Tamandua tetradactyla: one gene and its partners. The protein of the gene in region 1 interacts with the protein of each later gene in a biochemical or structural test. Links are inferred from orthologs where the notes say so. Each region holds a gene or a part of one and is shown in the gene's direction. Other genes may lie near its edges. The genes, in order: CTSB, CSTB and CSTA.

What was found.
Region 2: the proteins of CTSB (region 1) and CSTB form a complex in vitro, tested with the Homo sapiens proteins (2 studies listed by BioGRID). The link is inferred for Tamandua tetradactyla from reciprocal best matches to the Homo sapiens genes CTSB and CSTB.
Region 3: the proteins of CTSB (region 1) and CSTA form a complex in vitro, tested with the Homo sapiens proteins (3 studies listed by BioGRID and IntAct, with this or other methods). The link is inferred for Tamandua tetradactyla from reciprocal best matches to the Homo sapiens genes CTSB and CSTA.

The regions. Positions count from the first base shown.
Region 1 is NC_135329.1:33,495,577-33,505,853, reverse strand, and holds the start of CTSB (cathepsin B), read left to right. Parts: upstream 1-5,636; 5' UTR 5,637-5,765; intron 5,766-10,277. UniProt on the Homo sapiens protein: Thiol protease which is believed to participate in intracellular degradation and turnover of proteins. Cleaves matrix extracellular phosphoglycoprotein MEPE. Involved in the solubilization of cross-linked TG/thyroglobulin in the thyroid follicle lumen.
Region 2 is NC_135336.1:101,411,927-101,422,803, reverse strand, and holds CSTB (cystatin-B), read left to right. Parts: upstream 1-6,024; 5' UTR 6,025-6,069; coding exon 6,070-6,135; intron 6,136-8,406; coding exon 8,407-8,508; intron 8,509-8,784; coding exon 8,785-8,913; 3' UTR 8,914-9,190; downstream 9,191-10,877. UniProt on the Homo sapiens protein: This is an intracellular thiol proteinase inhibitor. Tightly binding reversible inhibitor of cathepsins L, H and B.
Region 3 is NC_135336.1:23,277,952-23,288,625, reverse strand, and holds the start of CSTA (cystatin-A), read left to right. Parts: upstream 1-6,565; 5' UTR 6,566-6,628; coding exon 6,629-6,694; intron 6,695-10,674. UniProt on the Homo sapiens protein: This is an intracellular thiol proteinase inhibitor. Has an important role in desmosome-mediated cell-cell adhesion in the lower levels of the epidermis.

The DNA.
Region 1 (10,277 bases):
CTGTGCTTGTTTAAAATGATGTATGCCCCCTAGAAAAGTCATATTTTAATCAAAATCCCATTTCATAAAGGTAGAATAATCCCTATTCAATAATCATCTCCCTGGATGATGTGATTTAGTTGAGTGGTTTTTAAACTGGATTAGGTGATGACATGTCTCCACCCATTTGGGTGGGTCTTGATCGGTTTATTGGAGTCCTATAAAAGAGGAAACGTTTTGGAGAATGAGAGATTCAGAGAGAGCAGCACCACGAAGCAGAGAGTCCACCAGCCAGTGACCTCTGGAGATGAAGAAGGAAAACGCCTCCCGGGGAGCTTCATGAAACTGGAAGCCAGGAGAGAAAGCTAGCAGATGAGGCCATGTTCGCCATGTGCCCTTCCAGCTGAGACAGAAGCCCTGACTGTGTTCGCCATGCACCTTCTCACTTGAGAGAGAAACCCTGAACTTCATCAGCCTTCTTGAACCAAGGTATCTTACCCTGGATGGATACCAATCGTATCTTACCCTGGATGAATACCTTTGATTGGACATTTCTATAGACTTGTTTTAATTGGGTCATTTTCTCAGCCTTAGAATTATAAACTAGCAACCCATTAAATTCCCCTTTTTAAAGGCCGTTCTGTTTCTGGTATATTGCATCCTGGCAGCTAGCAAACTAGAACAAGACCCATGAAAATAAACTCTAGAATATATGAGCCCTGCCTCACAAAAAGTAAATATGCCAATAAGCCAAGCCCTCAATCTCTTTTTTAAATTTATTTTTTATTATCAAACCAAAACAACATACAAACATGAACATACTTAACATACAAACATTCCGTGCATGGTGTACAATCAGTGGTTCACAATATCATCACATAGTAGTATATTCATCACCATGATCATTTTTTAGAATATTTGCATCACTCCAGAAAAAGAAATAAAAAGAAAAAACTCATACATACCATACCTCTTACCCCTCCCTTTCACTGAGCACTAGTATTTCCATCTACTCAATAGATTTTAACTTTTGTTTCCCCTATTTATTTTTCTATACACCTTACCACTCCTTTTCATTGTTCACTAGTATTTCAATCTACTCAATTTTTTTAACATTTGTTCCCCCTATTATTTATTTATTTTTAATCCATATTTTTTATTCATCTCTCAATATCGTAGATAAAAGGAGCATCAGACACAATGTTTTCACACTCACATTGACACACGGTGAAAGCTATGCCATTATACAATCATCTTCAAGAAGCATGGCTACTGGAATACAGCTCTATAGTTTCAGGCACTTCCCTCTAGACTCTCTAATGCACCTTAAACTAAAAAGAGGATATCTATAAAATGTGTAAGAATAACCTCCAGGATAACCTCTCAACTCTATTTGAAATCTCTCAGCCACAGACACTTTATTTTGATTCATTTCTCTCTTCCCCCTTTCAGTCAAGAAGGTTTTCTCAATTCCTTGATGCTGAGTCCCAGCTCATTCTAGGATTTCCATCCCACACTGCCAGGGAGGTTTACACCCATGGGAGTCATGTCCCACGCAGAGAGGGGGAAGGCGGTGAGTCTGCTTGCTGTGTTGGCAGAAAGAGAGATAGGTCACATTTGAGCAACAAAAGAAATTTTCTCAGGGTGACTCTTAGGCTTAATTTTAAATAGGCTATCCTTTGCGGGGATAAGTTTCATATGAACAAACCCCAAGATTGAGGGCTCAGCCTATTGATTTGGTTGTCCTCACTCAAACCCTCAACCTTGAAGCTCATACTTATAAAACTTATTTCTGTGATGATGCAATGCCTAACAGTCACCCCCGAAACCTCTTTGTTGATCAAATGTGGCCTTTTTCTATGTCAAACTCTGCAAATAAACTCACTACCTTGCCCCCTACATGGGCCATAACTCAGGGGTAACATCCCAGGCACATAGAGTAGCAGTGCTTTCTTGAGCAAAAAAGGGGAAAAGAAATAAAACAAAATAAAGTTTCAATGGTTAAGAAATTTCGCATTGAGTTAGGAGGTCATTCTGGAGGTTACTCTCATGTGGGTCTCAGCCAAACATTTGCCAACACTGTTCCTGAATCCTAAGTAACACCCTGGGTTCTAGCTGAAAATCCATGAAAAGTTCTTTCCCCCAGTGTGATAGAGTTATAAATCAGCGCATCATAATCCTTCTGTTCCTTTTATTTAAACTTATAATTTTTCAATGTACTTGTTAAGTTTGCTGTTCAGACAGAGACTTGAAGTCTCTGGATCTTCCCTATGCCAGTTAAGCGCTGAAACCCAGAGGTACCAGTCTCTCCAGGAATAACAATCAGTTTCGTTCCTCTACCCCATAAGGTTGACATCCCCTTTTCACCATGATGAGGTCAGAGTGGCTGTCATCCAGATGTCCCTCAAGATTGAGGGAGGAAAAAAAGAAAGGGGAGGAATTGTAACTGAGGAATTAAGATTCGACAAATAATTGTGATGACTGAATCATTATATAGATGCCTTTTTCTTACTTTCTAGTATATACCCCAGTGAATTGCAGATTGTAAAAACCTTGCTACTGGCTCCACTTGTATTCCCTTATCCTGTTTTACAACTTTAGAGTCTTATGATCAGAAAGACAACCCCCTGATTTTTTTTTTTTTTTTTTTTTTTTTTTGCGTGGGCAGGCACTGGGGATAGAACACAGGTCTCAGGCATGGCAGACAAGAATGCTGCCACTGAGCCATTTCCCTGCCAACCCCCTACTATTAATGAAGGAACTTGAGTCAGTCCAGAACTAAGAGTTGACTATGATGTTTTGTCATTAAAATGGTTACTCTAGCTTAGTTCTAGCTTAGTTCCATTCCTTTACATGTGTAAATGAAGTTGTAATCTACAGATTTGTCTATTCTGAACATTTCACATAAATGGAATCTTATAGTATGTGGCCTTTTGAATGTAACTTTTTCACTTAGCATAATGTTTCCAAGATTCATCCATGTTGTAGATGTTTCAGTCCTTTGTTTCTTTTCATGGCCAAATAATATCCCATTGTATGGATGTATCATATTTTGCCTATCCATGCATCAGAAGATGGACATTTGGGTTCTTTCTCCTTCTGGCTATTATGAATAGTGCTGCTATGAACATTTGTGTATACATGCTATTGTGGGAACATATGTTTTCATATCTCTTGGATACATACCTAGGCCCCTTTTCCAGGTATTCAGCAGGCAAATAGCTACTTCTCATACAAGCCAAGGCCTTCCTGTAGTTTTGAGGACTGTGCCTCAAGTTCCTGAGCCCAATCCTGGCAAGTTAAGTCAAAATTCTAGTCAACCATCAGGACACACTTCATTCATTTAAGCACTCACTCTATAAATATTGATTCACTATCTATTATGTACCAGGCACTGTGCCATGTGCTAGGAATCCAGCAAAGAACAATGCAGGCAAAAATTCTTGCCCTCATGGAGCTTAAGATCTAAGGAGGGCAGTAAGGAAAACATTATATGATGTGCTACATTCCTTTTTGCAGGAATAATTAAATTCTACCTAAAAGTACTTATATATCTTGTTCGTTAGTTGGTTGCTTTATTTTCAAAAGTTTTTTTTTTTTCGAGAGGTTATCCTGGAGGTTATACTTATGCATTTTATAGATATCACCTTTTTAGTTTATGGTGTATTAGAGAGGCTAGAGGGAAGTACCTGAAACTGTAGAGCTGTGTTCCAGTAGCCATGTTTCTTGAAGATGATTGCATAATGATATAGCTTTTCAGTGTGACTGTGAGACTGTGAAAACCTTGTTTCTGATGCTCCTTTTTTCTATGGTATGGACAGATGAGTAAAACATATGGATAAAAAATAAATAAATAATAGGGGGAACAAATGTTAAAATAAATTTAGTAGATTGAAATGCTAGTGATCAATGAAAGGGAATGGTAAAGGGTATAGAAAAAAATAGGGGAAACAAAGGCTAAAATATATTGGGTAGATGGAAATACTAGCAGTCAATGAGAGAAGGGGCAAATGTGTATGATATGCATGAGTTTTTTTCTTTTTATTTCTTTTTCGAATTGATGCAAATGTTCTAAGAAATGATCATGGTGATGAATATGATATTGTAAGTTATTGATTATATACCAAGAATGGAATGATACATGGTAAGAATATTTGTGTTTGTATGTTGTTATGTTTAAAAAAAATTTTTTTTTAATCTCTATAATGGCACATGCAAAATTCCATAAAATTGAGATAATGCAGGTATAATAGTTAGCACACCTGCTGTCATGCAATAAAAACTATCTCTATAGAGAGATTTGTTTGTCATGGTTATTTCTGTGTCCTCCCCATTTGTGCCTTCTTTTATGGGCTCTATATGCAGTTCTAAAATGACTGTCTCATATATGGAAGATGACCTGGTAAAACGCTGATTTGCAGTCTGGAGACCATGCCTCTAAGAATACGGCTGAGATAAGGAGGCAGCTGGGACATTCTGTTTTCAAATCTGCTCCACGGTTGCCATAAATTCCTCAGGTCATCTTACTCAGTATGGAACTCAGTAACATGCTTGGGCTGTAGATTTTTTTTTCCCCTTCCATTCCTAAGTGGATTCTGACACGCTTCTCCGTAAATGGAAGAAGAGCGTCTCATGGGCTTTGGCTGGCACACAAACGGTGCAACAGCTGACGGTGGGCACAGCCAAATTCACAACTTTCTTAGTGCCACAAGACCCTGGATAAAATACCAAACTTTTCTGACCTTCTTGAATAAAATTCGGATCCCATCTACCTTACAAGATTGTCATGAGGATTAGAGACAGAGTTTTGAGCCACCCCCCATCAGCCTCCCCAGGTCACTCCTCCAAAGGAGCCCTAAGTAAAAAATGTGCTTGCTGGGTTCCCACAGCTTCATGAGAGATCTCTGGTACCCTTCTTCCAACCAGATTTCAGCCCCCAAATTTCTTTTGCTTCTCGGTGGAATTCCTGACGCAGCTCCTAGGGTTGACACTCCACGGTAATAACTACTTATTATTACTGTTTGCTGAAATGTCTTATATACATGTTCTCCGAATGCTAAGGTAAAAGGCTAACATTGAAGGGCTCTTCAGGGAATTTCCCCAGGCCAGCTGTCCTCACATCCCCGACCCTGGCAGGAGTTTTGAATGAATGGCTGCTGAATGAAAGAGATTAGCTACAGCTAGTCCTCCCCTGCCACGCCGAGATCCCGGGGATGGAGGGAGGGGGGCTGCTTTGAAAAAGGCTGTCTTTGGGGAGAGGGGTCCCTGGGGGAATTTCTGTAGGGTGGGTGGAGATCCTTTGGACCCCCGTCCAAGTCTAGAGAGTCCTTGCTCGCGTCTCGCATAGCAGGTTTTCGCCTGTCCTACGGCGGGAGTGGGGTGGGGGTCGGGGGTGAGACGGGGAAGGGAAGTGGGAGGTCCGGAGCGCATCTGCCACCTCCCGAGGCCGGCGGGCGTCTGGGGTGCCCAGCGTTTTCCGGGTTGGCCTGCCCAGGCCCCCCGCGCGCGCACGCCCTCAGAGGCGCGGAGTGTGGCGGGGGCCGGCAGGGGCAGGGACCCGGGGGTGCGCGGGTGGGCGCGGGAGGCTGACCCCGGGATGGCCCCGGGCGGCTGCAGCTCGCCAAGGTCACGTGGGACGAGTCAGCCGAGCGGGGCGGGGCCGGGCCGGGATAAATAGGCGCCGGGGCGGGCTCCGGGCAGCGGCGTTGGCTGCGGCGGCGGCGGCTCCTGAGTCCCTGTGTTTCCCCTCTGGCTGCTGCAGCCCCGGGCTCCCGCAGCTGAATTCGGTGAGTGCGGGCCGGCGGCACGTGGCGCGCGCACCTCTGCGGGCCCGGGCGCGGGTCTGGCCCTCCGCGCGACCGGGGCGGAAGTGACCTTCGGAGGGGGAGGGGGAGCCGCGCGGCGGGGCCGGCACCGGGATCCCCGGCTCCAGGCCCAGGCGCAGTCCGATTGCGTCCCTGGGAGATGGCGAGGCTGGGGGCTACCGCCGGCGGGAAGCAGGGGACCTTCGAGGCTGTCGCTGCGGAGATGAACCGGGGTGGCAGCCTCCGCACTCCTGGAAGTCGCTGTGGCGAGAAAAGCAAAACAAGGCACGCAGGCAGGCAGCCGGTCTGTCCGGCGACCCCGTGATCGGTCTAGATGCCGGGCGGGGCCCTGGAGGGGGCCCCAGGCAGAGCTGGGGAGTTTGTAGGGAAACTCCGAGGGAGGGTCCTGCGGGAAAGGATATGGCTCGGATCCCGGTGACCTTTGGCTAGAATCTGACTCCCCATCCAGCCCTGGCCGTAGCCCGAGTCCCTTGCCAGCTCAGTGACCTTGGGCACTCAGTTTCCTAAACTGAGTGAGTTTCCCCAGGGGGGAAACTTACCCCCTGGGCCTCAGTTTCCTAAGGCGAATTGCTGAGATAATAGAATCTACCTGCATCTATTTTAGGCTGTTTTTTCCCTCCTCGTGTCAGAGTTTGCCTGTGCAACTTTCTGCGCACAATCCCACACAATTCCAGGGACCCCAGAGGAAGGGGCCTATTAAAAACAGGAACCAGGAATTGGATGGAGTAGGATGGAACCGAAATTAAGAATTAAATCCGTAAACAGAGGAGGAGAAACTAAGGAGAATGGAAAGAGAGAAAGCTGTATGGGGCCTGGGGACCTCAGTATCCCTCCTCTCTGAGGACACAGGGAGAGATGCCACTCCCTACTCCTTAACGTGTATGGAGGACTGACAGTCATCAGACCCCGACTCGCTGGCACAGCACCTCCTCCCTCAGTTAATGACCCTAGAGGCCTAGGAGCGGGACTGCCTAGAGAATAGCGTGGGCGGAGTTTGTAGGCAGACAGATGTGGATTGGGCTTGGTTTCTTGTTGGGCCTAGCCCAGCTTCTGCTCAGGCATTGAGGAAGGCCAGCAGGCCGGCCCAGAGAGGTGGGCTGTAGCCCAGGCCCCATACCTCTAGGCGACTCAGTAAAAACACCGTATCCAGTGAGAGAGGAAATTGTGGGGTGAAAAGGGACACCTGGCACCTATTGGTACCTTGAAGGAACTGTTTTAGTCTGCTACACAGCCAAAAAAGCGTTATGTCAGAAATGGGTTGGCTTTTATAATGGATTGGGTTAAACAGTGTCTAAATGAAGACATCATTAAGGCGATGTTTTCTTCTTGAAGACGTTGGGGATCCTTGACTGCTCCATCACATGGCAAGGCACATGGTGGTATCTGCTGGTCTCCCCTCTCTTCTGGGTCTCATTGCTTTCCGTTTCTTGCTTCCCTGGCTTTCTCTGTGCGTGTCTGATCTCATTTTCTTGTAAAGGACTCCAGTAAGAGGATTAAGATCCATCCTGACTGAGGATAACATCGTAAGATCCAATTCATCATCAGGCAGGCCACGGTGTTTCAGCAGGCAGAGTTCTTGCCTGCAATGCCAGAGACCCAAGTTTGATTCCCGGTGCCTGCCCATGTTAAAAAAAAAAAAAAAAAGACCCCATTTATACTGGGTCCACACCCACAGGAATGGATTAGCTTTAAAAACAGGATTTCCTGGGGGCCATAAAAGCTTCAAACCATCTCAGTGTTCCTCAGATGTCTCCCACCTGAAGGATTGCAGCTGAGAAGTGTTCTATTTATGCATCAAAATGAATCTGCAGATTCAGAAAGAATGTGAAGAGGAGTGCCTGCCTTGGTAAAGGCTGCTTAACTTGTCTTCAGTAATCTCGTTTCCTTGTTGACCCTGTTGACAATGATCTGGGGTCCTTGGGCCTTAGGGAGAAAGGCTTTCCCAAAGGTGGAGTCGGGCGTGCCTTGGATAAAAGTGGCTTCTACTTGAATCTTGTTGTGTATCCCAGAGCTACAGATATTACCAGGTGGAAAGGCGCAGATACCATATCAGGGTGTTTGCAGACCTAGGCAGAGGCAATGGGCCAGGCCCAGCCCTGGCTCCAGTAACCCCCGTGGATGTTCTGTTAGGACTGGTCCGGCGGTGAGGCAGGGAAGCCCTTTGGCTCCAGGAGTGATGCTGATTCTGCAGCTTTGGCTGATACCCTTCCTCTTGTAGACAGGTTCTCTCTTTTGCTCGCAGCTGCTGGCCCTGAGAGTTGGAATAAGAAGTTGTAGCGTATTAGGGGTATAAGATATTTTGTATAACTATTGACATTTGGATTGAGAAGTGGAAGGGAGATCTCATTTCAGGGGAGCCTTGGGTCCTTAAACCCATGGCAATAGGGATCCTGCATTGTAGAAGGCTGGGAGTTCTTTTCTGGTCAAATAATGAAGGGGGTCCCTTTGTCTTTTGTATTAGAGATAGAATCTTCAGGACAATACTTGAGCTCTCTATAAAAAGGGCTAACAAGGGAGGTGCAGAGCTCTTATAGCACAGCCCTTCTGGGCTTAGTGTTGTAGTGGTGGGCTGAGAGTAAAACCTGTACAGATGGAATATGGATCTGCACAATCTCACCTAATTTTGAAAAAATCGGAAGAGAGTTTTCAACTAAAATATAGGGATCCCCAGCCACCAAACTGGTTGCCTCAGGCTGCCATGACCTCATTTCCCACGTGTTTGTACATCATAGTACTGGAAGGGAAAGGAGAGGAGGAGGAGTTAGTTGGATGGCAGTATTAGGAAATAAAATGTTTTCTCCAGCTTTGTCTACTAAATGGGTCTAGAAACATTGTTGTTCCTGTAGTGGTGAGCAGATGTAGAACCCGGTCTTGGATTCTGAAAACCATTTCCCACTAAAGGAATTCAAGCTCCTTGATGAAAAGTCTGATTCTGGGTCTGGGGCAGGGAAATTACAAGGTGAATCTGGAACATCTTGTGCCGCAAAGCAAGAAAATTTTGAAGACTAAGAGGGTCGTGTCAGAAGGATAGAAGAGCTCACTTGAAGGACCTTCCACTGGTCAAACGTGTTAGACGGGACGATCAAGAATAATAAGAGATCATAACACTGAATGTTTTGCTTTTGCTGAAATTGAGAAAAGGGGATAGATGGGGGAGAAGCCTTTTTGTAGAATGTCAGTTAAAGTGTAGAAAGAATGATAAAATTATGAATGAACCATTTTGTGACTCCAATGTGATGAAACATTATCAAAGGTGCTTAGTCATCCTTGCATCATCAATAGGTGCTAAAAGCATCGGGTGAAAGGTTGTTGCCAAGAAGGATATTCACACAGTGTCAAATTGAAGTATCACCCCATAGATGAGGTACAAATTCCCAAAAAAGGAAACTTTAGCAAATTACAGTGAAGACATGTAGCAGTCAACCTTAAACGAGAGGTCAAACCGGACATCACCAAGAAATGGGAAATCTTGACATTAGGTGTCTTCTGGTGAGATGCAGTAGATTAACGTAAACTTCCCTCTGCAATAGTCTTGTCAAAAATGTTTGACCTGTATCTATTCATGAGGATATAGTTAGAAGAATCCAGGATGTAGGATATTCTGCTGGAAAGCCCTTGAAAGCATTCAGTGTCATGAAGAATGGGGTGGGGTGGGGTGGCGGGGGAGGTGAACAAGGCTGGTATGGAATCGGAAGACCACAAAGAGCCAGATGCATACGTGAGCATTGACTGTATCCTGAATTGGGGAGGGGGGCAGGGCGGGATTAGAAGTCAGTGCTTCTTAACTTTGCATAGTAATGGGAAGGGAAATGTATTTTAACATAAAATACAGATTCTGATTCCAATGGTCTCCCAGGTGCTATGGATACTGCTGGTCTGCAGGTCACATTTTTAATAGAAAGGCTGCAGAGGACATAATGTTGGGATAACTGGAAATTTGAGTCTGGAATATCTGTTGTGTGATTTTCCTAAATGTGGTAATGAAGTTGTGGTTTTATAGAATATCCTTTTTCCTGTGAGGTAAGGACTGAAATATTTAGAAGCGCAGATTTACAATGTCTTCCTGTTTTTGTTTTGTTTGTTTTTTTTTTCTTTCGACAGTTTGAAATAAGGCAAGGATTAGAAATACGAGGTTGAACTCTAAGGAATTGGAATTTTTGAAGATCAAAAGGGTCAAAATCTGGCACTTTCCTATGGTGCAACTTCAAAGCATACAGGGGAAGCCAAGAGGATGGTGGGGTTTGACAATAAGTTGGTGAATCTGGGTGTCCCATACACAGATGTGTGTTATACTTACAGGGTAATGGGGGAACACTTAAGCATCTCTGTTGGATCCCATATCTTCTCTTGGTTTACACCCTCATTTTTCAGTAAACCACACTCCAGGAGCTGCTAAGAAAGGATGATGTGGGAGCTAAATCTAGAATCCTTACATGACTGTTAATGTTTAAATTCCACCCTAGTTTGGGTAGG
Region 2 (10,877 bases), on another chromosome or scaffold:
CACTGAATGTAACACAGGCATTATGCCAAAACTAAGTATTAACAGGTGGGGGGACTGGGAAAGGGGTGTAGATTCTTAGTGGAAGAAAAGGAAATGTCTTCAGACAGATTATTCTGGCGAAGGTATGTCTATGCACTTAGGCTGGATTGTATGATGTGTGAATAAAACTGTTTAAAATCAAACAGAGAGAAACAAGTTCTAGAGAGAATGTGGAGAGAGAGATGCACCTGTTCACTGTCAGTAGGGGAAGGAGAGGTGCAGCCCCTTGGAGGGCAGTGTGGGGGGTCCCCAGGAGCTAGGGGTGGGGTTGCCATGGGATTCTGAACCCCAAGGCTCAGTGTATACCTAGAGGAACCGAGTGTGAGGACAGGAATGGACGTTTGCACACTGGGGTATCTGGCAGTGTTCGTGACCCACAGTGAATGGAGGTGGCCTAAGGGTACAATGACGAGGAATGGAAGGGGACAATGGTGTGTCCATACAGTGGACGACTGAGGGGCCACATGAAGGAATGAAGCTGTGCAGCAGGCAAGTCGGTGAATGAGCCTTAAGAGCTGTATGTTGGATGAAATGTCAGGAACAAAAAAGCAAATATCATGCCTCAATCATATGGATTAACTACAATACAAAAATTCAGTGAACTAAAATCGAGAGCATGGGTTATCAGGGCAGGGCTTATTGTGAAAAGTCTTAGACTATAAGCTCTTGCAGCAATCACATCTATTCAGGAGGTGGAACTGCTAATTCAAAAATCTCAGATTCTGAGATATTTGTATATAACACGGTCTTTCCCAGAAACTTTGGGTATTTGTGTGACACCCGAGACTCAGAGTTAGAGCTCTGAAGCTATGAAAGTTAGCAGTGCCCCATACAGGAGCTGTCTAAAAAGCTGAAAAAGTGATCAAACATCGAGTAGAGACATGAATGAAGCTGAGCTGGAGAGGACTAAGGTATACCAGAAGACTGGTTACAGGATGACATCATCCATGTTTTAAAACTTGAACTTCTGTGTGAGACTAAAGGGAGAAATGTTTATTTGATGCAAAATTCATATTTAGGCTCATAAAGTTTCTTAATTTAACTTGTATGGTCAGTTGAATTGAATACCATAATTACACAGAATCTTGAATAGGGCATGAGATCTTGTTTGCCCATGTTAGTGTGATGCCCTAATAAATACCAGAGTGATTTTGACGGTGAATAAAGAAGTATTTACAAAGTCCCTTGGGGGGATGGGGAGAAAGGGGGAAATATTCAGCTTCCCCGTTTGGAGAATTTCTGATGTTCTTGCAAGCAAAGGGGACCACAGAATTGATGTGCCCGAGCCCTAGATATTGAAGTTCACACCTATGAAACTGAACCCTGCAAAGGTTAGGCTAAGCCTACTTAAAATTAGGCCTAAGACCTAAGAGTCACCCCCAAGAGAACCTCTTTTGTTGCTCAAATGTGGCCTCTCTCTCTCTCTCTCTCAGCCAACATGACAAGCAAACTCACTGCCCTCCCCCTCTGTGTGGGACACGACTCCCAGAGGTCTGGACCTTCCTGGCAATGTGGGACAGAAATCCTAGAATGAGCTGGGACTCAGCACCAAGGGACTGAGAAAACCTTCTCTACAGAAAGGGGGAAGAGAGAAATGAGACAAATTAAAGTGTCAATGGCTGAGAGATTCCAAACAGAGTCGAGAGGTTATCCTGGAGGTTATTCTTACACATTATCACCTTTTTAGTTAAGGTATAATGGAGAGGCTGGAGGGAACTGTCTGAAAATGTAGAGCTGTGTTTCTTGAAGATGATTGTATAATGACATAGCTTTCACAGTGTGACTGTATGATTGTGAAACCTTGTGTCTGATGCTCCTTTTATCTACCTTATGAACAGATGAGTAAAACATCTGGATTAAAAATAAATAAATAATAGGGGTAACAAATGTTAAAATAAATTTAGTAGGTTGAAATGCTAGTGATCAATGAAAGGGAGGGGTAAGGGGTATGGTATGTGTCAATTTTTTTCTGTTTTCTTTTTATTTCTTTTTCTGAATTGATGCAAATATTCTAAGAAATGATGATGGTAATGAATATACAGCTACGTGACAAAAAATAATTTCCATATTGTACGTTGATTGGTTTTTTTAATAAATTTTTTTTAATTAGGCTTAAGAATATTGTGCGTATACAAAAAGGAACGAAGCTGTGAGGCATGCAGCGATGTGAATGAACCTGTGGGACACAGGATGAGGCAAAAAAAGCCAGAAACGAAAGAGCAATTATGGTGAGGTCTCCTTTAGAAAATGCTTATAAGAAAACAGGGGCCTAGATCATAAGCTCTTAGAGCAGACACATTTATTTCTGGATTTTGAGAGGCTGTTTTATATGTCTATAACCAGGTATTTAGAGATAAGAATGAAGCTAATCATGTCAAGATTAGGGTAGTTCAGAATGCAGGGGTAAGGAAGACAGTGTCTGTATTTTAGAACCACACCTACTCTTTGATACCAAAGGAAGAAAGGTTTATTTTGTCTGGAACCTAAATTTTCTGTAGTGCACAATATAACTCAATCTGTCTCGATAGGTCATTTGAACAATGAAACATAGGGAGCCAGAATAAAATTGAGGGCCTTTAATCCTGTAAAAATAAAAAACAATAGGTCTAAGAGAACCTCTTTTGTTGCTCAGATGTGGCCTCTCTCTCCAAGCCAAAGGAGCAAGTGAACTCACTGCCATACTCCCATACTCTGGGAGACAAGACTCCCCAAGGTGTATTAGTTAGGGTTCTCTAGAGAAACAGAACCAACAGGAAATATTCGTAAATATAAAGTTTATAAAAGGGTCTCACGTAACCGTGGGAATGTAGAGTCCAAAATCTGCAGGGAGGCCTGTGAAGCCAACGATTTTGATGGAGGGTCTGGCCGAAGCCAGCCAAAGCAGGTAGAGCGCCTGTCTCTTCTGAATTCTCCCTAAAAGGCTTCTGGTGATAAGATTAAGCATCACTTATTGCAGAAGACACTTCCCTTGGCTGATTACAAATGGAATCAGCTGTGGACGTAGCGCATGTGATCATGATTTAATTCTATGAAATGTCCTCATCGCAACAGACAGGCCATCACTTGCCCAACCAGAGAAACAGGTATCACCACTTGGCCAAGTTGACACATGAACCTAACCATGACAAGAGGTGTAAATACCCCAGGCAACATGAGACAAAAATCCCAATGAGCCAGGACTCAGCACTGAGGGATTGAGAAAGCCTTCTTGACCAAAAAAGGGAAGAGAGAAATGAGTCAAAATCAAGTGTCAGCAGCTGAGAGATTTCAAACAGAGTCAAGAGGTTATCCTGGAGGTTATTGTTATGCATTTATATAGATATCCCTTGTTAGTATATGGTGTATTGGAGTGGCTGGAGGGAAGTACCTGAAACTGCAGAGCTGTGTTTCAGTAGCCTTGATTCTTGAAGATGATTGTATAATGATACAGCTTTTAAAATGTGACTGTGTGATTGTGAAAACCTTGTGTCTGATATTCCTTTTATCTAGAGTATGGACAGATGATTAAAAACTATGGATAAAAATAAACAAATAATAAGGGAAACAAAGGTTAAAAAAATTGAATAGGTTGAAATACTACTGGTGAGAGAGGGGGGTAAGAGCTGTGGCATGTATGAGTTTTTTCTTTTTTTTCTTTTTTTGCTGGAGAGATGCAAATGTTCAAAACAATGATCGTGGTGATGAATACACAACTACTGGACAATACTGTGAGTCACTGATTGTATGCCATGTATGGAATGTTTGTATGTCAAGAATGGTTGTATGTTTGTTTTATAAGGTTTGACCAAAAAAAAAACATAAAAAAAAAAGAAAACATGTATCCACTTTTCGCAGATCAAGCTCCTGTAGTGCTTTCCTTTGGGGCTCATGTTTATCACGGAACAGCTTCGAGTTGAAGCAGAAGGTCTCCCCTGCTGAGTTGAAGCAGAAGGTCTCCCCTGCCCTTTCTGCTCGTGCACCTTATGCTGGGCGTGCACGTGTGGCCCAGGAATTCCCCTCTCCCCTAGGAAACAGACTCCGCACAGCCCGGCAGCACACTCCCTGTCCACAGCTGCCCCTAGCCTGCTGACTGGAGCAGGGCAGGCTCTGAGCGGCGAGTCCCTCAGACACCCAGACAGACTGGGCCAGACTCGCATGCTCCCAGCGCGTGCATAATGGCTACTCTGACCCCACAGGACCCGGGGCTGGCCTCCGCACCGGGGACAGGGCATGGGCCACCCCCACCCTCAGCCAGGGAGGGGTGGGGAAGGGCTGGCCGGGCACCCGGGGATCCTACCGCTCTTAAGTGGCTGGTTTTCTGGTTTGGGGCTCGCCCTGTGACTGCAGTGCTTTCACTGTTTTCTGGAGTTTTGGCAAAGACGTTTCTGCCAGTTCTCGCTGGTTGTTCAGAGCCTCCACAGCAAGACAGAGCCCTGACCCGCCTCGCTCTGCCATCTGGAGTGGGGTTGAGCCTATGGCAGTAGCATTTTAACAGGGTTTATGTGTTTCCTCTCCCAACTTACCCCACTTGTCTTCCTCTTTCCGCTTTCCAGAGGTGTGCTCGGCCTGCTTTCACTCACTGGCTCCCTGGCACTCTCGGGGACAGTGCCCGCTGCATGGTGCCACGGTCCGAAACCCATCGGAACCCCCGTAACAACCGGCCCCAAACAGTTGGGACGCAGTCAGTGACCACCTGCCTCCCTAATTTTTGTCCTCGTTCCCAACTCAGGATCAACGGCAGAAAACCAGATCTGCTCCCCAAACCAACCACAGAAGATGCCCACTTCCTGCCAGCCGCCCCCAGCCTCCCCACCTCACAGTGCAGGACCAGCGCCCACCTGAAGCCTCCCTTTTGCTCACTCTCCCACCTACCTTCAAGTCTTATCTTTGCAACTTCTGAGTAAAGAGCCTTTGCTGTTCTCACCAGCTGGCTTCGTTTCTCCCCACAGGTGTCAGCTGTGGACACCTGCAGCCCCACCTCTGGGGGTGTGAGAGTGGTCCCCACGCCTGGTGCCTTTGGACACATCAACATATTTTCCACAAGACAGTGGGGCCCAGCCTCACAGAGCCACTGAGTGGAAAAAGCAAGAGAAGTGCTTCCCTTTCCTTCCTTGGTTAATTTTTTGATGCTTTGTTTCTGTGTGGAGACCTGCTCCATTTCTATAGGATCAAACCTGTCATTCTTTCGTTCAACCACTCACTCTTCAACAACAAGGGAGCATCTTCCTGACCTCCCCAGGGTTCTGACTCCACCCGATGTCCCGTCTCTCCAGAACCCTTCCCACCTGGCAGGTATGGGAAAGGTGCTCCTCGCCCCCACACAGACCTGTTTATCAGTCACAACCCCTTCAGCCCTGCCTAACCCTTCAGCCCTGAGTAGGTGCAGCCCGGGGATCCGGGAGCGGGAGATCATTCTGGAAGGCCAGTCAGCTCTTGCCCCAAACAAGGATGCGCCCTTCCCTGCCCCCAGGTGCTTGAGTATAATTTAAATCTTAACCCAAATCCCTCTCCAATCCGCACAGAGCTGACCCCAGCCCGGCCTGGGGTGTTCAGCTGCCGCACTCGGCTGCCCACTTCTGTGCTTCACTCTCCGCGCCCCTCGGGGGGCCAGGCTTGTGACCCCCCACTCCCACCCGCCAGTAGGCTGGGTCCGGGGCGGGCCTCTCGCCCAGGCTCCTGCAGGTCCCGGCTGGACCACGGGCTCTGACCCGTCTCCAAGCTCACCCGCAGGACCCGCCCCCGCGGCCCCTCCCGCGGCCCCCCGGCGCCCCCACCCCCTCGCGCGGCCCGGGGCGCCCCCAGCAGAGGTCCGGCCGCGCCCACCCCCCTCCCTCCCGCCGCCCCGAGTCTCTGCGGGGGCGCGGGGCGGGGAAGTGACACCACAGCCCGGAGAGGGGGGCGCCCGCCACGGGACCCGCCCGCCCCCTCCGGCCCCGCCCCGCGCGCCTTGGGCCCGCCTGCGTCACGTGGCTGTCACGGGGCGTCACGTGGGCGGCGCACTACTTATCGCCCCGCGCGCGGCCGGGAGCCGAGTCCCCGCCCGCCGCCGCGATGATGTGCGGGGCGTCCTCGGCCTCGCAGCCGGCCACGGCCGAGACGCAGCAGATCGCCGACCAGGTGGGCCCGCGCGCCCCCGGCCCGGAAGGCTGCACCCGCGGTGTGCCGCCACCCCCACTCCCACCCGCGTTCCCGGGCGCGGCCGCTGAGCCACGGAGAGGCGCGGGAGGGCCGGCGGGGGGGCTCCCATTCCCCTCCTGGGGGGTCGGGAGAAGGCGCGAGCGCCGGGCCAGCTGCGCAGGGTGGGACCGGCCCGATCCTGCGACTTCAGCCGCGGGCAGGGCGCAGCCGGCACGGGGAGAGGTGCCCGGTAGCCCCGGAGGCCCGCCTGGTCGTCCTGTCGTCACGTGTCCACAAAATCGGTTCTTTCCACGCAAGGATCCGTCCGCCAAGATGTCCGGGGCGCACCGGGGCGCCTGACGCGGGGAGGAGGGCGGAGGCGCAGCAGCCTGCCTCTCGCCCTCCCCGCGGGCTGCTGCTGAAGCCGGGGCCTGTGGTCAGCCCAGGGGCCTTGCGCCCGGCTCGGGCTACAGCAGGTGGCCACGAGTCGGTGCCCTGAGGCCCTTGGGAAGGAGGACCTTTTAGAAGGCCCTTCCACTGGCGCGCGTGAACTGCCCGGGAGAGAGTGTGCCGAGCTCCTCTCCCACGGCCACTTCCTCAGGCCTGGCCCCTTCCTTCCCAGCTGCCTGGTAGCCAGACCCGCGAGTCCTCCAGTGTCAGGGTCAGTTTCCAGAAGGCTGGGAACTTTGAGCGAATGAGTTCTTGGCGGCAGCCAGGAGAGCAGGGCCACCATCCCAAAGGGGCTCTGTCCCTGCTCAGCACCCCTTGGGGGGTGTGGGAGAGGGCAGCCGTGTGATTGGGAGAAATCACTGGGCCTGCCTGATGGAAGCCGGCCGTATCTGGGGGTCTAAGGAGAAGGGGAGCACCTACCATGTCGCTGCGTTTTGCATCCTCACTAGTCTTGGCCTAAGTGTGGTCTGCTTTCCAGGTGAGGAGGCTGGAGGGCAGGCGCAGGACCAGGTCCTTGCGTTTTGTCACCCGGGTGGCAGGGCTGGTGGACGGCTTCCGGGACACCCCGCTGGCCCCTCCACGCCTCCTGCTGGGCGCTCTCCCCCAGCCCGCCCGTTCTGCTCCATTTGGGTTTTTTTCCTCCATTTCTTGCAAATAGCTTAGGCTTTTCTGCCTCTTGAAAGCCCCCAAAGACAGGCGATTCCTCCTGTCCTTGACCTCTCCTCAGCAGCCCTGGGCCGCTCCCAGGATCACTCCTTTGTCCTCCTGAGGGTGTGGACCATCCAGCAGGTGTATGTCAGCCGGGTGGGCACCGGCGTGAGGAGCTAACAGAGGGCCGACAGGACGCAGCCGCTTGCCGCCCTGCGCCCTCCTGCCAGACTGCAGCCTCTCTGTCCTCCCCCATCAGGTGTCCCTGCTCTGAAGGCTCAGAGGCTTCCAGGACGCCCATGGCCCTTGTTCGGGTCGTCACAGTGACTCAGTTGCATGTGATTCCTGATGACTCCCTCATTTCCCAACCAGCACCCTTCCTGCAGTTCTGTGTCTTCCTTTTTAACTAAAATTCGGACCCGCCATGGCTGGTCTGGACACCCCACGCATTCTGAGGATGGACTGCTGCTTCCAGGCAGGGCCTTAGCTACTGTCCTAAAAGAGACAGACTTGCTCCCCCTTCCCCGTGGAGGAGGCCATCTCCTAAACTGTGGAGACCTAGAAAACAGGGTTGTCTCAAACGCATGTTGGCTGTGCACTTCGGATTTGGGTCCTGCTTGGCCCAAAGGCCCTGTGTCCTGAAGAAACCCTCCCTCAGGGCAGGGCTTTCCACCTGTGGTCACCACAGCGTGACTTGTCACAGCAAAAACTGGGGACAGCCAAATGGCCACGGGAGGGGGATCCTCCACGGAATCAGGGCACACGATGCAGAGGAAGGCTCGCTTTAAAAAAGAACATGCAGACTTTCGTGTGAATGTGTTAAGTGAAGAAATAAAGAGCATAAACCTGTGTTTACTGTTGTAATGATAAAAATGCCCAATGCCTAGAAGAGGAGAGGCAGACAGTCTTTTGAAATATTAAAATTCTGGTGAGATGAATAAGGAACTTCTATTACTTTTTTGGTTTTTTGGTATTTCATCATTAGAGCTACCAATTTCCTTGGCTCACTGGGTTTCCTCAGTCATGGAGTGAATCTGTTGGAGGAAGTACGTGAAGATTTGGTGTTTGAATTCAGTTTAGAAACTTAACATGAGAAACAAATTCCGTGTGTGAGAGGCCCGTTGGCAGGAAAGAAGTCACTGAGCGTCTTCGCATTTTCTCCCCTTCTCCTAGGTGAAGGCCCAGCTGGAGGAGAAGGAAAATAAGAAGTTTCCTGTTTTCAGTGCTGTCGAGTTCAAGCACCAGGTGGTGGCCGGAATGAACTTCTTCATCAAGGTGGGGCTCGGGGCAAAGTGGGCCCTGGCCTCGCCGGCGCCAGAGCAGGGGTGCTTCGCGGGGTGCCCCTAGGCTGCGTGTCGCTGTGTGGTCGCACAGATGGCCCCCAGACTCGTGGGCGGGGGCGGGGATGGCGTCCAGCACTGACGTGGGAGTGGACCAGGGCACACCTGCGGGGCCCAGCCCCCTCGCCTTCTGCCCGCACACACCCGGGGCGGGGCACGGGCCTGGGCTGCGGCTGCCCCACCTTTGCCTCACCTGCCTCCTGCTCTCCAGGTGCACGTCGGCGACGATCACTTCGTCCACTTGCGGGTCTTCCAGAGCCTCCCCCATGAAAACAAGCCTCTGAGCTTGTCCAGCTACCAGATCAACAAATCCAAGGATGATGAACTGACCTATTTTTGATTCCGGACCTCAAAGGGAGCTGTTTGTCCCTACGACTAGCCTGTTGGGATGGTCCTCTGTCCTCTATGAGTGTGCACTGGGGGTGGTAAAGCTAGCACGTGTCTGCGCTGGCCTTGGGGGTGGGGGAGGGGAGGGGCTAAGCCGCCTCCTGTGCCTCTGTTCCTAAATTGTTTGTTGTGTCCAGGTGGCTTTCTTTCCCATTCCATGATCTTAACTAACTTCCTTTCACAGAGGGCTAAGTATTATCTTTAAATAAATATTTTCAAACTTTAAAAAAGTGGTTTCCTTTGGCTTAGTAAAACCATGAGATCCGAAAATGCCTGGGACGCATAGAAAATCACGAGAAGTGCCGCGGAGGGAGCAAAGCATGAGAGAGAAGCGGGTCTGGCGGCTGGGTGGTGAGAAGGCGTCTTGGAGGGGGTGTATTTCATTTGGGTGGCCCGCCACGGGGTGGGTGGGGGGCACGAGACTATCCTGGCAAAGCAGCAGCAGAGGGCAAGGGCCCAGGGACAGTGGTACCCTCGAGGAGGGCTCTGTGTGGGGAGGCCAGGGGCCTGAGTGGGGTTTGGGAAGGGGTGGGCAGGCCCGGGGGACAGGAGCTGACACCTGCGACCCCACCCCCGGGACGACGGCCAGGTCACAGGTAGGCAGAGGGGCTGGTGTGCCCAGGGCTCTGCTCACTGGCCCTGGACGCACAGCCTGCCCTCCAGCCCCTGCCTGTGCACCGATGACACCCTCTGGGAAATGAATGTGAGGCAAGCCAGGGCCCCACCTGCGGGGGGCTGCCCGTGAACTGGCTTCATTTTCTAGCCCATGGGGAATTAAGAAATGAAGTTTCTCCTCCTGGTCAGTGCAGACATGCTCCCCCAAACAATCCTGCCTCATGGACATTGAGAAGGCACCAAAAGGCATTGCCAGAGTGGCCCGTGCACTCCTTCTGGGGGCAGGGTTGCTCCCTGGCACATGCTGCCCTGCCCGGGAGGCAGGCACGGCGGGGGTGGGGGCGTCCCTGCCCCCAGCACAGGCAGGTGGCTGCACTGAGCGTGGGCAGCGTCCACGGCCAGCTCCAGCTTCAGGCACGGAAGGCAGTGGAAAGGGGCCCAAGGTACAGTCTGGAACGTGTGCGCGTCAACGACTGCCTGGGTGAAGCAGGCTCGTGTGGACTAGGGGCCTCGCTTCAAAGCTGAAAAGTGGTCTGGAGGCCACTTGGTGCTGCAGTCAGGGGCAGCTCTCTGAGCACCGCGGCAGCCGGGCGTGGCCAGGGAGACGGAGGGGCTGGCAGCTGCGCCCATCCTTGGCATCAGGGCAGTCAACCAGAGACACTTTTGGGGGCAGCAGCAGAGCACCGGGGGGAGTGGGAAGGCGGTAGGGATGGCGCCAGCTGGAGCCCTCCCTTGGGCACCCCTCATCCCCACCCTCTCTGCTTGCTCTGTGCCCGGGGCTTCCCCCAGGCCCTCCTGGTGCGGGTCCCTCTGCTCCCGCCAGGCGCCTCCCCTGGCGCAACCTCCTGGCCCTTCTAACTTGCCTTCCCCACTGGTCACCTTCTGGCCCCAGCAAGGCTGTGGACCCCTCAGGAACTGCAGCACTGCCTGTCCCCTCCGAGCCACCTGCCACCCCCTGGTTGTAAACAGTCCCTTCATTAAACTCCTGTGTGGTGCCATCTGTCTCGTGCCGGGTCCCAGGGGAACAGAACGCACTGCCTTGAGCTCAGTGAGTCCAGGGTCCTCCCCTGTGCTCTGGAGGTGGGGCCCGGCCCCCAGCCTGGGCTGGTCCTTTGTCTCTGCTGCGCTGGGGCCCGACTGGGCCAGAGGAGGTGAGAGCCGCGTTAGGGAGACAGGGCAAGACGTAACCGGATGCAGATTGTGCAATGGAGAAGGTGGTAGGCGGTGACCCAGTGTTTGCTGCCCCCTGGGCTATCTCCGAGGCCCCAGCTGAACTGCCTGCAGCGAGCGGTCAGTGCTGTT
Region 3 (10,674 bases), on another chromosome or scaffold:
ATTTAAATGGAATAATACAATACATAGCCTTCTGTGTTTGGCTTCTTACATTTTACTTCCTTCCATTTTCACTTGATTTTGAGGTTCACCGATGTTATTGAATATAGTAATATTTTTGTTACTTTTTATTGTTGAATAGCATTCTACAGTATGGATATTCCATAATTTGGGGTGTTTTTTTTTTGTATGCTATATGGTGGTGTCACTTCATTATTTTTCCATGTGAGTATCCATATTTTTATTTCAGCACCATTTGTTGAATTTTTTTTTGTTTTTGTTTGTTTTGCTTGTTTGTTTTTTGGGAAGTGCACGGACCAGGAATTGAACCCCGGTCTCCTGCATGGCAGGCGAGAATTCTACCACTGAACTACCCTTTCACATCCCTCCCATAATTTGTTTTTATCCGTTCACCCCTTGATGGACATTTAGGTTGTTTTCAGTTGTTGGCTATTACAAATAATGTTGCTATCGACATTTCTGTGTAAGTCTTTTTGTAAACATATATTTTCATTTCTCTTGGGTGAATTCCTAGGAGTGAGCATCAATAACAGGGGCCTATAAGATATATGGGATTTTGTTTTCCAGAGAAATGAAAATGTTCTCGTATAGATTATGGTGGTGAATGCATAACTATGTGATTATACAAGAGCTGTTAATTATACGCTTTGGACAGATTGCATGATGTGTGAATTAAACAGTTAAAAAAATTCCTATGAGCTGTTAGGCACAGGGTCGTTAAGGATTCCACATGAGACAGCAAGTCAAAGATTAACAGATTTATTGAAGGAATAAAGTATGGAGGAAGCAGGTGGGAGAGTGAAAGGAAGAACGTAGGTAGGAGCAGGAAGAAAAAGAAAACAGCTCCAGGTCTTTGTTCTGGGAGCTGTGTTTTAAAGGGAAAGTGACACCAGGAGGGGAGAGTGCCCACTAGGTAGTGTGCTGACCCTTGATTGGATGGGGGCTTATTGACTTAGGGTATGACGGATTGCTGATGTATTCTCCTTTGATGTGTAGGTGCATGTATCAGGCAGGGTGAGATGCTGGCAGGCGAGGGTGTTAGCAGCAGCACCTTCTAGAGGATATAGTACTAGCTAGTATGGCAGTTGGTGCATATCTGGGTCCTTGGACCTGCCAAGGACGCTGAGGAGGGGGCTGAGAGAGCTCTGCATCAAAAGTTCCTTTTGCTCTTAGAATTCTTTTTCTGAACTCCAACAGAAGTGGAAATGAGGTAAAGGTAGCTTTACTATTATAACATACTGCCATACTGTTTTCCAAAGTGGCTGTACCATTTGCATTTCCACCAACTGGATGAGAGTTCCAGTTGTTCCACATCACTGCCAACACCTGGTATTAAAAATCTTTTTGATAACTAGTCCAGTGAGCCTGTAGTGGTATATGATAATGGGCTTAATGCATTTTTCCCTCTCTGACCATGATTCGACCCCTACCTACCACTGCTTCCCAGCCCCCACCCCCTACTCCACCTCCTCTGCGATTGGAATTAAGCTTCCCTCTGCCCTTCACCCAACCTTCACTCCAACAAACCATCACCTATGCTTAACCCAATTTCCTGTCTCTATATACTGTGACTCACTCTGCCCATTAAATGCTTTTTTTTTTTTTTTTTTCTGCAACTCTGCAGGTCCAAATTCTACACATTCTCAAAGCCCAACTCAGATTCTCTCTCTCCCAGGAAGATTTCTTTGACCTTCCCAGTTGGAAGCAAACTCTCCTTTCTTAAAACTCCTATTGTAGCACGAAAACCAGGAACGAGGCCGCAGGCCTCCAGGAAGGTTCCACGAAGTTAGAACAGACTGAGACTAAGGATCCGTAGTTTCAGGAAGCAGGTTTTATTTACTATGGCCATAGGGCTCAGGCAGTAACCTCTGAAAGTCTGAGCCCCGAACAAAAGGCAACCTTAGCTTTTATAGACTCTTTGACATGTTAAAGACAAGGTAAACAATTGGCTGATTTAAGTTGGGAATGGCCCAAAGCTGAACCATTAAGGGAGGGGTCCCTACCCCAGAATGTCTTATCTTGCCTACTTGCAGCTTCACCAGTTCCTGAAGGCTAGGGAAGGGGGTTTCTATCCCAGGAATGTGTCTTATGCTTGCCTGCAGTTTTATCCATTCCTGAAGGTCAGGAGAGGGGGGTTGAGGATTTTCCACAGAGAGCACAGCTGAACTAGAAAGGGGGGAGGCCTGCCTGCTACACTATTGCACTTCTATACAAATCTTTGGACATTTAACCATTTTCAGCCTTGTAATATACTTATTAGTGCAGCCTTGTAATATACTTATTTTCTAATAGACTAAAAGTATCTCAAGGGCAGGGAATCATATAGCCAATTAAAAACAACTTTTCCTTCAAATCCTTTGAAATGAGAAACAGTCTCCTTCAAGAAGTTTTTTCTAATCAAGCCTATCCAGTTCCAATACCTTCATATATACCCAGTAGTTATATACCTGGTCTTTCTAACTTATACATAGTTTGCAGTTTTCAGCTTTGATGCGATCTTTACTTGGGTCGCTTCTTTCTTCTCCTTTAGAGTATAAACTTCCGAAGGGCGGTGCTGTATCTTTCATTTTCTTCACTCCCTCAGTCTGTAGACTTTCTTTATACCCCTTTAATGATACCTTTTGTAAAGAAGGATTTTTATAAAGCTTAACAGTAGCTAATTTTTCTTGCTTAATTTAGCTATTTACATATATTTTAGCTTCTGAACGATAGAAATATCCAGCAAAAGCATTTGTGTCATTTTATATTCACTGCTATGCATTTGGTGTTAAGAATTGTAAAGAAAAGAGTTATGGGCCCCATCAGGCTAAGAAAAACAACACGGAACTTCCCAGGGGCGGTTATCTGCTGCCTTGGTTATGCAAGGTTATCTGCTGCCTTGGTTATGCAAGGTTATCTGCTGCCTTGGTTATGCAAGGTTGTAACTGCCAGAGGAAGTTTATCTAAGAATGCAACTGAGAAGGTTGAGTAAGGGAGTTTTGCACAACGAGACAGTTGCTTCTTGCATGAAGCAGCTCCCATGACTCATGCGCGAAAAATGTTTGTTATCTGCTTCTTGCAAAATGTTTGTTATCTGCTTCTTGCAAAATGCTTGTTATCTGCTTCTTGCAAAATGTTTGTTATCTGCTTCTTGCAAAATGTTTGTTATCTGCTTCTTGCATGAAGCAGCACCTGTGACCCATGCTCGACCCTCACCACCCTCCTCCTACCCCTTAAAAGCTTCCCCAAACCCAGGCTCGGGGCTCTCTGTTCCTGCGTGTTCAGTGAGCCCCACGCATGTGTGGTAAATAAACCCCTTTGCGTGTTGCATGAGAGAACGTCTCTTGGAGTCCTCCTTTGCGTGGCAAAACTCTCGAATTCTTACACTTTAAGTGTATCAATTAGAATACTTTGGGGGGCAAGTAATAGAACTTGTGGCTTAAACAATAAGGACATTTATTATCTTACTTAACAAGAAGCCTGGACTAGACAGCCGCAGTACAAAGACCCAATAATATCCTTGTCAACCAATCAATAAACTAAGCTGCAAGGCAACAAACTGCATATATATTTGGGACCTTAGAATTGCAATTCAGGAAACACAAATTTGGGTAGCAACCCAAATAGTGTCTCATCTTGGTATTTCCAGGCAAGGGTTTTTAAAAAGAAAGATTACATACATTGTTTGTGATTGGTGGATATCCAATTGTCCTTCAGGTTAGAAAGTTCACTGAGTTCTTTATCTTGTGGTTCTATGGTGCCTGGATATCCTTGGGGTTCTGAGGAATGCCGTTGCTTGAGGCTTTGCACACTGTGGCAGTTTGTGAAATCTGGCTGAGATTTCCTAAGAGTAACCTCCAGAATGACCTCGCACCTCCATTTAAAAACTCTTAGCCATAGCAACTCTATTTTGTCTTATTTCTCTCAACATCCTCAAGACCCTCTTTCCATATTTCTGCTGCCATGCTCAGGATATAAACAAATATCCCTGCATAGTCACAAGATAACTTGCAGCAGCTACAACCATCTCACCCTCATGGAACAATTCCAAAAGCTCAGAGGGAAGGAACAGGATTAACTAAAGATTAAATGAGAAGAAGTATATAAAGCGCTTTGCACAACATCTGAATTACAATAGGTATTCAATAAATGGTCGATAATTTTAATTACAGGGGTTTTAACATCTTCTGTTCCCTATGACCTATTTTAAAGTTAAAATCGCCAAAATAAAAACAGTACATAAAATACAAAGAAAAGGCTGAATTTTTTTTTTTTTTTTTTAGAAAAAGAACATTAAAACCTAATGATAGCTTTTTAAAGCTCCTCACAAGCAATAAAAGCTCATTAGCATCAACAACAAACAATGGGTGAATTCTTCCTAGGTGCCAGGTGCTTACACCTGGTCAGCAAAGTTGGGGCAGACAGAGTCCCCGACTGGAGAACATTTACTTCCTCTGGAACTCTGTAAGTATTAAACATACTTCTGGATTAAGGTGGTTTTTTGTGCACATTTTTGTAACTGAGAAATTAGAATTTGAGGGATATTTTAATTACTGAATCATTACATAAATGTTCCTTTTGCTTTTGGGATTTTGGAGTAGACAAAGGAAAGCACCCAGAAGCCCTGAACTATAATTAAGCTGTTTGGGACATCCAGAGGGATGATAAAAGCTCTTATCTTTTACCTGTTGCCTGAGTGGCTATGAGAACTGGAACCCCACTATCTGGTTAGTCTCTTAGAGGCCTCAGTGCTAAGGAAAATGACCATTAACCAGCCTCAGCACCTTACGTTTGTAAATTATATCCAATGGGCTCTGCTATTGAAAAATAGATAGCTCTGCCTTCTTATGTTAACTTATGCTAACAGTGTGTACTTTTCAGCTCTGCTAGGCCCTGCCATTGAAGGATAAGATAGCTCCTGTCAATTTATGTTAACAATGTTTTCTTTTCTGCTTTGAACTTCCTGTTAACACTATTATTTTTTTCTGCTTTGAATTTACTATCTGAAGTGACCTCATCGCCCTTGTTAGAATCCTTAAAACCCTCGAATCCCCTTTGTTCTGGGAGACAGATTTGGGGCCCTTAGGCTGTCTGCTCTCCTGCTACCTGTGTAATAATAAATGCTCTCTCTCTTTCAAACCCCGGTGTTTCGGTAATTGATTATTGAGCTCGCCAGGCAGAAGAATCCACAGCCTTTGTCCGGTAACATTATGAAACCCTCCCTCCCTCCCTACTCAAAAAACATAAGAATGTTGAAAAAAATATATTTTAAATTAGCAATTTAAATAATCGACTTTGAAAATGAGAAACTGGGAGGAAATCCGTGGTAGTCACTTTAAAAGCTAAAGTGAGGTAGGTCCAGCTTCACATCATAGGGACTGGACTTTCAGTATCCTTGTGGGATTGGGAGGTAAAGTAAAGGCTAAATATAGGGACCTGGGGTTTCTGCCTAAGGCCAGAGGGGGAATTCATTGCCCTTTCCTGACCCAGAGGTCATGATGTATCTTCCGGCGTGCCCTGGACCACAAGCATCCATCCCTGGCCATGGGTGCAAGCGCAGCTACCTCGGGAAGCCCATAACTCCAGACCTACAGCAAAAGCTGGAGACAAGCCCAATTTCCAGTGTCTTCATGGTTCAAGAACTCTAAGCCAAAACAGAACTGGTTTGGGGCCTGTGTACTACAGGATCGCAACCCAGCCTCACAGAAGAGACTGCCGTAAAGATAATTCCTGTGGCAGATGAGCTCACAGACAAGACTTACGCAATTTATGAGGATGTTGAGTACTGTAAAGACATCCTGAATAATTCCAACTCAAGGAATGACAGACAGCAGAGGAATCTTATAGGCATTTAAAAAAAATCTATATTAATTAATTGCATATTTGATTAATTAGATAATTAACATCAAGATATTAATTGTTGTGCTTTGCTTTTCTGTACCTCCTTGTTAGAGATGCTTCCCCCATAAGTCAACTATAGCAGTAATATGTTTTTTCTTCAGAAAAAAAACTACCAAACAAGATGGGAAGCAAATAGGACAAAATGTCAAAAATTTTCATTCTAGATGGTGGGAGTATAAGTGTTTGTTATTTTATTCTTTGCATTTGTGTGTATTTTGAATGTTTCTAGAAACGTAGATAAAAATAAAGTACAAATATCCAGCCAAGGTTTCCAGATAAACCCTTTCACTGTCTGTATAAAGTGAGGTAAATTCTAACCATCAGCCTTGATGCTATTAAGTATTCCTTAAAAAAAAAATACAGTGTTGTGTTGGAGGCTTTAACACATTTGGAAATTCTGGTTGTAGCTTCAGGATGCAACAAGACGGAACCATTGTCAAAGAAAAGGCAGGATGTTCGAGTCTCCTTATAGCAGGACTGTGTGTACACACTAATTTGTTCATCACCAACCCCAGTTCCTTAAATTCATATTACCACGTTTTGTTGGGGAATCAGGAAGAATTGCTTCAAGACATACTGGTTTTTACTGTGCCTTTCTGTTCTCTGTGGAGACGAAATCATCCCATAGGCGGAGCTTATGAACAAACACCCTCTTTAAAAACCAGAGTCTCCTTGCTTACCTGATCATTTGGTTCCAGCATCCTGCTGTGCAAAGAGACAATTAGCCAAAATGATGCCTGGAGGCTTAACCGAAGCTAGACCTGCCACTCCAGAAATCCAGGAGATTGCTAATGAGGTAAGTTGATGTGTCACATGAGAAGGTTTGATCCAAAATCTTGGTTTCCTGGGATGGACTTGAGGTAAGAGTGTAAGTGAGCATGAAAACCAGAACCCTGGCAAACGGGTGGTGGTGTGCAGGCTCCCTTACAGCTAAAAATGTTTTTTATGTGAAACCTCACTTTTTATGTGAAATCTCAACACCGTCAGGGGGACTCAGCAAGTCACATCCCTTCTGTGAACCTCAGCTTCCCTATTTATAAAAGAGAAATTTGTATTAAATCATCTCTAAAATTCTTCCAGCTCTCACAGTGTGTGGTTCTAGGATTACTAATTCAGTTTTCGATGAAACTTTTGTAATCTCCTAAGTAGAGCTAACATGTAATTAAAATCTAAGGTTGTTAAATATTTGATGAACTAGAATTCAAGTGCACTGGATGGAAACTTTTAAAAATGGTTTGAATGAAGAACAATATTGTAAAGGTGACCAACTTAAAACTTTTGATAGACAGTGTTTTAATCTAAGTAGAGAAAAGAAGTGGCATAGTCTGTGGTGATTTGGTGATTCCAAAGTTAATTTTGGTAAAAATTAGACTCAAAGTTTTTGTTTGTTTGTTTGTTTTATATATACATATATATATATATATATATATATATATATATATATATATATATATATATATTATTGAGATAACTTCACTCACCATACAGTCCATCTTAAAGTATGCAATCAGTGGCACACGATATCATTACATAGCTGTGTATTTATCACCATGATCATTTTTTTTTTGGCCTTTAATAAAAGGGGATTTATTTAGTTAAAAATGTATAGTTCTTCAGAGGAAGGGCAACTAACTTTCAACTGAGGTTCTTTCTTACGCGGGAAGGCACAGGGTGATCTCTGCTGACCTTCTCTCCAGGCCTCTGGGTTCCAACAACTTTTCCTGGGGTGATTTCTTTCTGCATCTCCAAGGGCTTGGGCTGAGCTGCAAGTGCTGAGATGAGGTATACTGAGCTGCTTGGGCTGTGCTACATTGACCTCTCTCTTTTTTTTTTTTAAATTTATTTATTAATTAAAAAAAATAAAGAACAGACAAACAAAAACATTAATATGTAATTCTGTTCTACATATAAATTCAGTAATTCTCAATGTCATCACATAGTTGCATATTCATCATTTCTTAGAACATTTGCATCAATTCTCAAAAAGAAATAAAACAATAATAGAAAAAAAAAAGATTATACATACCATACCCCTTACCCCTCACTTTCATTTACCACTAGCATTTCAAGCTAAATTTATTTTAACATTTGTTCCCTCTATTATTTATTTTTATTCCATATGTTCTACTTGTTTCTTGACAAGGTAGATAAAAGGAGCATCAGAGACAAGGTTTTCACAATCACACAGTCACATTGTGACAGCTATATCATTATTCAGTCATCCTTGAGAAACATGGCTACTGGAACACAGCTCTACATTTTCAGGCAGTTCCCTCCAGCCTCTCCATTACATCTTGAATAACAAGATGATATCTACTTGATGCATAAGAATAACCTCCAGGACAACCTCTCAACTCTATATGGAATCTCTCAGCTGTTGACACTTAGTCTCATTTCACTCTTCCTCCTTTTGGCCGAGAAGGTTTTCTCAATCCCTTGATGCTGAGTCTCAGCTCATTCTAGGGTTTTTCTCAATCCCTTGATGCTGAGTCTCAACTCATTCTAGGATTTCTGTCCCACGTTGCCAGGAAGGTCCACACCCCTGGGAGTCATGTCCCACGTAGACAGGGAGAGAGTGGTATCATCATGATCATTTTAAGCCTATCTTTATCACTCCAGAAAAAGAATAGAGAGATAAAAGAAAAAACCCAACATCCCATACTCCTTACCTCTCCTGCTCATTGACCACTAGTATTGCAATCTACCCAATTTTTTTTACCCCTTATTCCCCGCTCCCCTAGTATTTATGTATATATTTTTGTCCTTATTTTTTTACTAATCTGTCCATAGCTTGGATAAAGGGAGCATCACCACGAAGTTTTCACAATCTCATGGTCACATTGTAAAAGCTATATACTTATACAATCATCTTCAAGACTCAAGACTACTGGAATACAAGAACTCAATGTTTTTAGTGAGTTGATACTTTTTTGAAAGATTATTTGATTAGCTACCACCTACATAATAGAAATTATTGTATTGGCTACTATGTGACAGGAAAACACATACCAATCACTGTTTTAAGTATATAATTTTTTTACCTTATTTGCTTTTATCATTATTTCTTGTTTTTTGCTGAAACTTCACTCCATAACACTGTTTGGCAACAAAATCAACATGCTGTGTGAGTGGAAGAGCTGGGATCCTCTGAGCTAAGGAACACTGGAAAGCTCCATGGGGCTAGATGCTTGGAATTGCACTACTCATTCTTTGGGGCTAAATATTTCCCTTTAAATATATATATATATATGTGTGTGTGTATATATATATATATGTGTGTGTGTATATATATATATATGGAGCTTTTATTCTCTTGGAGAGGTTAATATTGCCATTAATACCTTCATTTGACTCCTCGTATCAGTCAATGTTCACAAACTTGAGCGTGCACATGAATCACCTGGGTCCTGTGAAAATGCAGATTCTGCTTCAGTGCAGTCTGGGGTGGGGTCTGGGAGGTGCATTCCTAGCAGGCCAAGATGCGGCTGCCGTCCACTGACCTCCTGAGCCTTTACGAAGACCTGATACATGACACCCTTAGAGGGCTACCTATGGGAGACGGGGTTTTCCAAAATCACAGTGCTGACATAAAAGTTCTTCATTTAATTTCTCTGTCCCTATCAGCGTGCTTCTTAATAGAATGTCAGCTGAAAGAACCCAGCGAGGGAGGGAGGGTCAGAAGGAAGAAAACAGTCATCCCACAGCATAGAGAAAGTATCAAAGAAAAGTGATGCTTTCATGTTCGAAGTCATCAAAATGAAGGGGGGATGATGGATGAGGTCAGAAAGAGCAGAAAGTCAAATAAAGGCTTGGGTTTGGGAAGACAAACATTTTTGAATGTTTCCCCCTTCTGAAGATAATAGAGATCAAATGGGTAGTTGCGGTATCATGTATTAAAGGAAGATAAAGGTACTTGTGTCCAGAGTACACTTGGGAAAAAAACTTTCCAACATTCAGTGTATTAGTTAAGGGCCATTGCTATACCCTTCTCCTGTACTTTTTCCTATTTGGGAGACAAGTCGTCATGAAGGAAAACCACCATGGTCTTTTCATTCAAAAAGCACTGATTATGTACCCAGTACTATGTGAATTGTGAATTACTCTAGGGCAAGGTAAAAGAGGAGACATAAAGATGCTCCCTGCTTTCTGGGAAATTTACAAAATAGTTTAGATGGATGACATACAAAGAAATAAAGAGAGATACAAGGCCCTATCCATGAAAAACCCATAATACATGTAAATAAGAGCCAAATGAAAGCACCTAAAAGCAAAATTCTCTGGATCATTATTGGTAATTATTATCCTAAATTTTATTTAAATAACCATTGGATGAGAATTCTGAGTATGTTTGTGTGTCAGAAGGAAATACTATTTTAATAATTACTTTCAGAAATAAAGGCTCATATTACACACACATATATCTACATCCACACACACACACACCCACACCCACGCATACCTAAGTCATAAACCAGACTGCCCAGTAGCATTCCCGGCAATACCCACAAACCAGGATTTTTTGTCTGCCAGGACGTCACATAAAACCTCATCTGCCTAAACTCATGGGCACTCCCTGGTGCCCTCTCAACACAGCCTCCCTATCAATCACCTCTCCACACCCAAAGAACCTGCCATTCAGCCACACCAGAAATCTTCCAGGCACTCACCCTCTTATCTTCATTAGAACATGCCAAAGCCCACTTGATCAACATCCAGCCTGGCCCCATGGTGTGTGGTTTTATACTTCTCCACCCCTGATTTTCACGACCCAGTGAG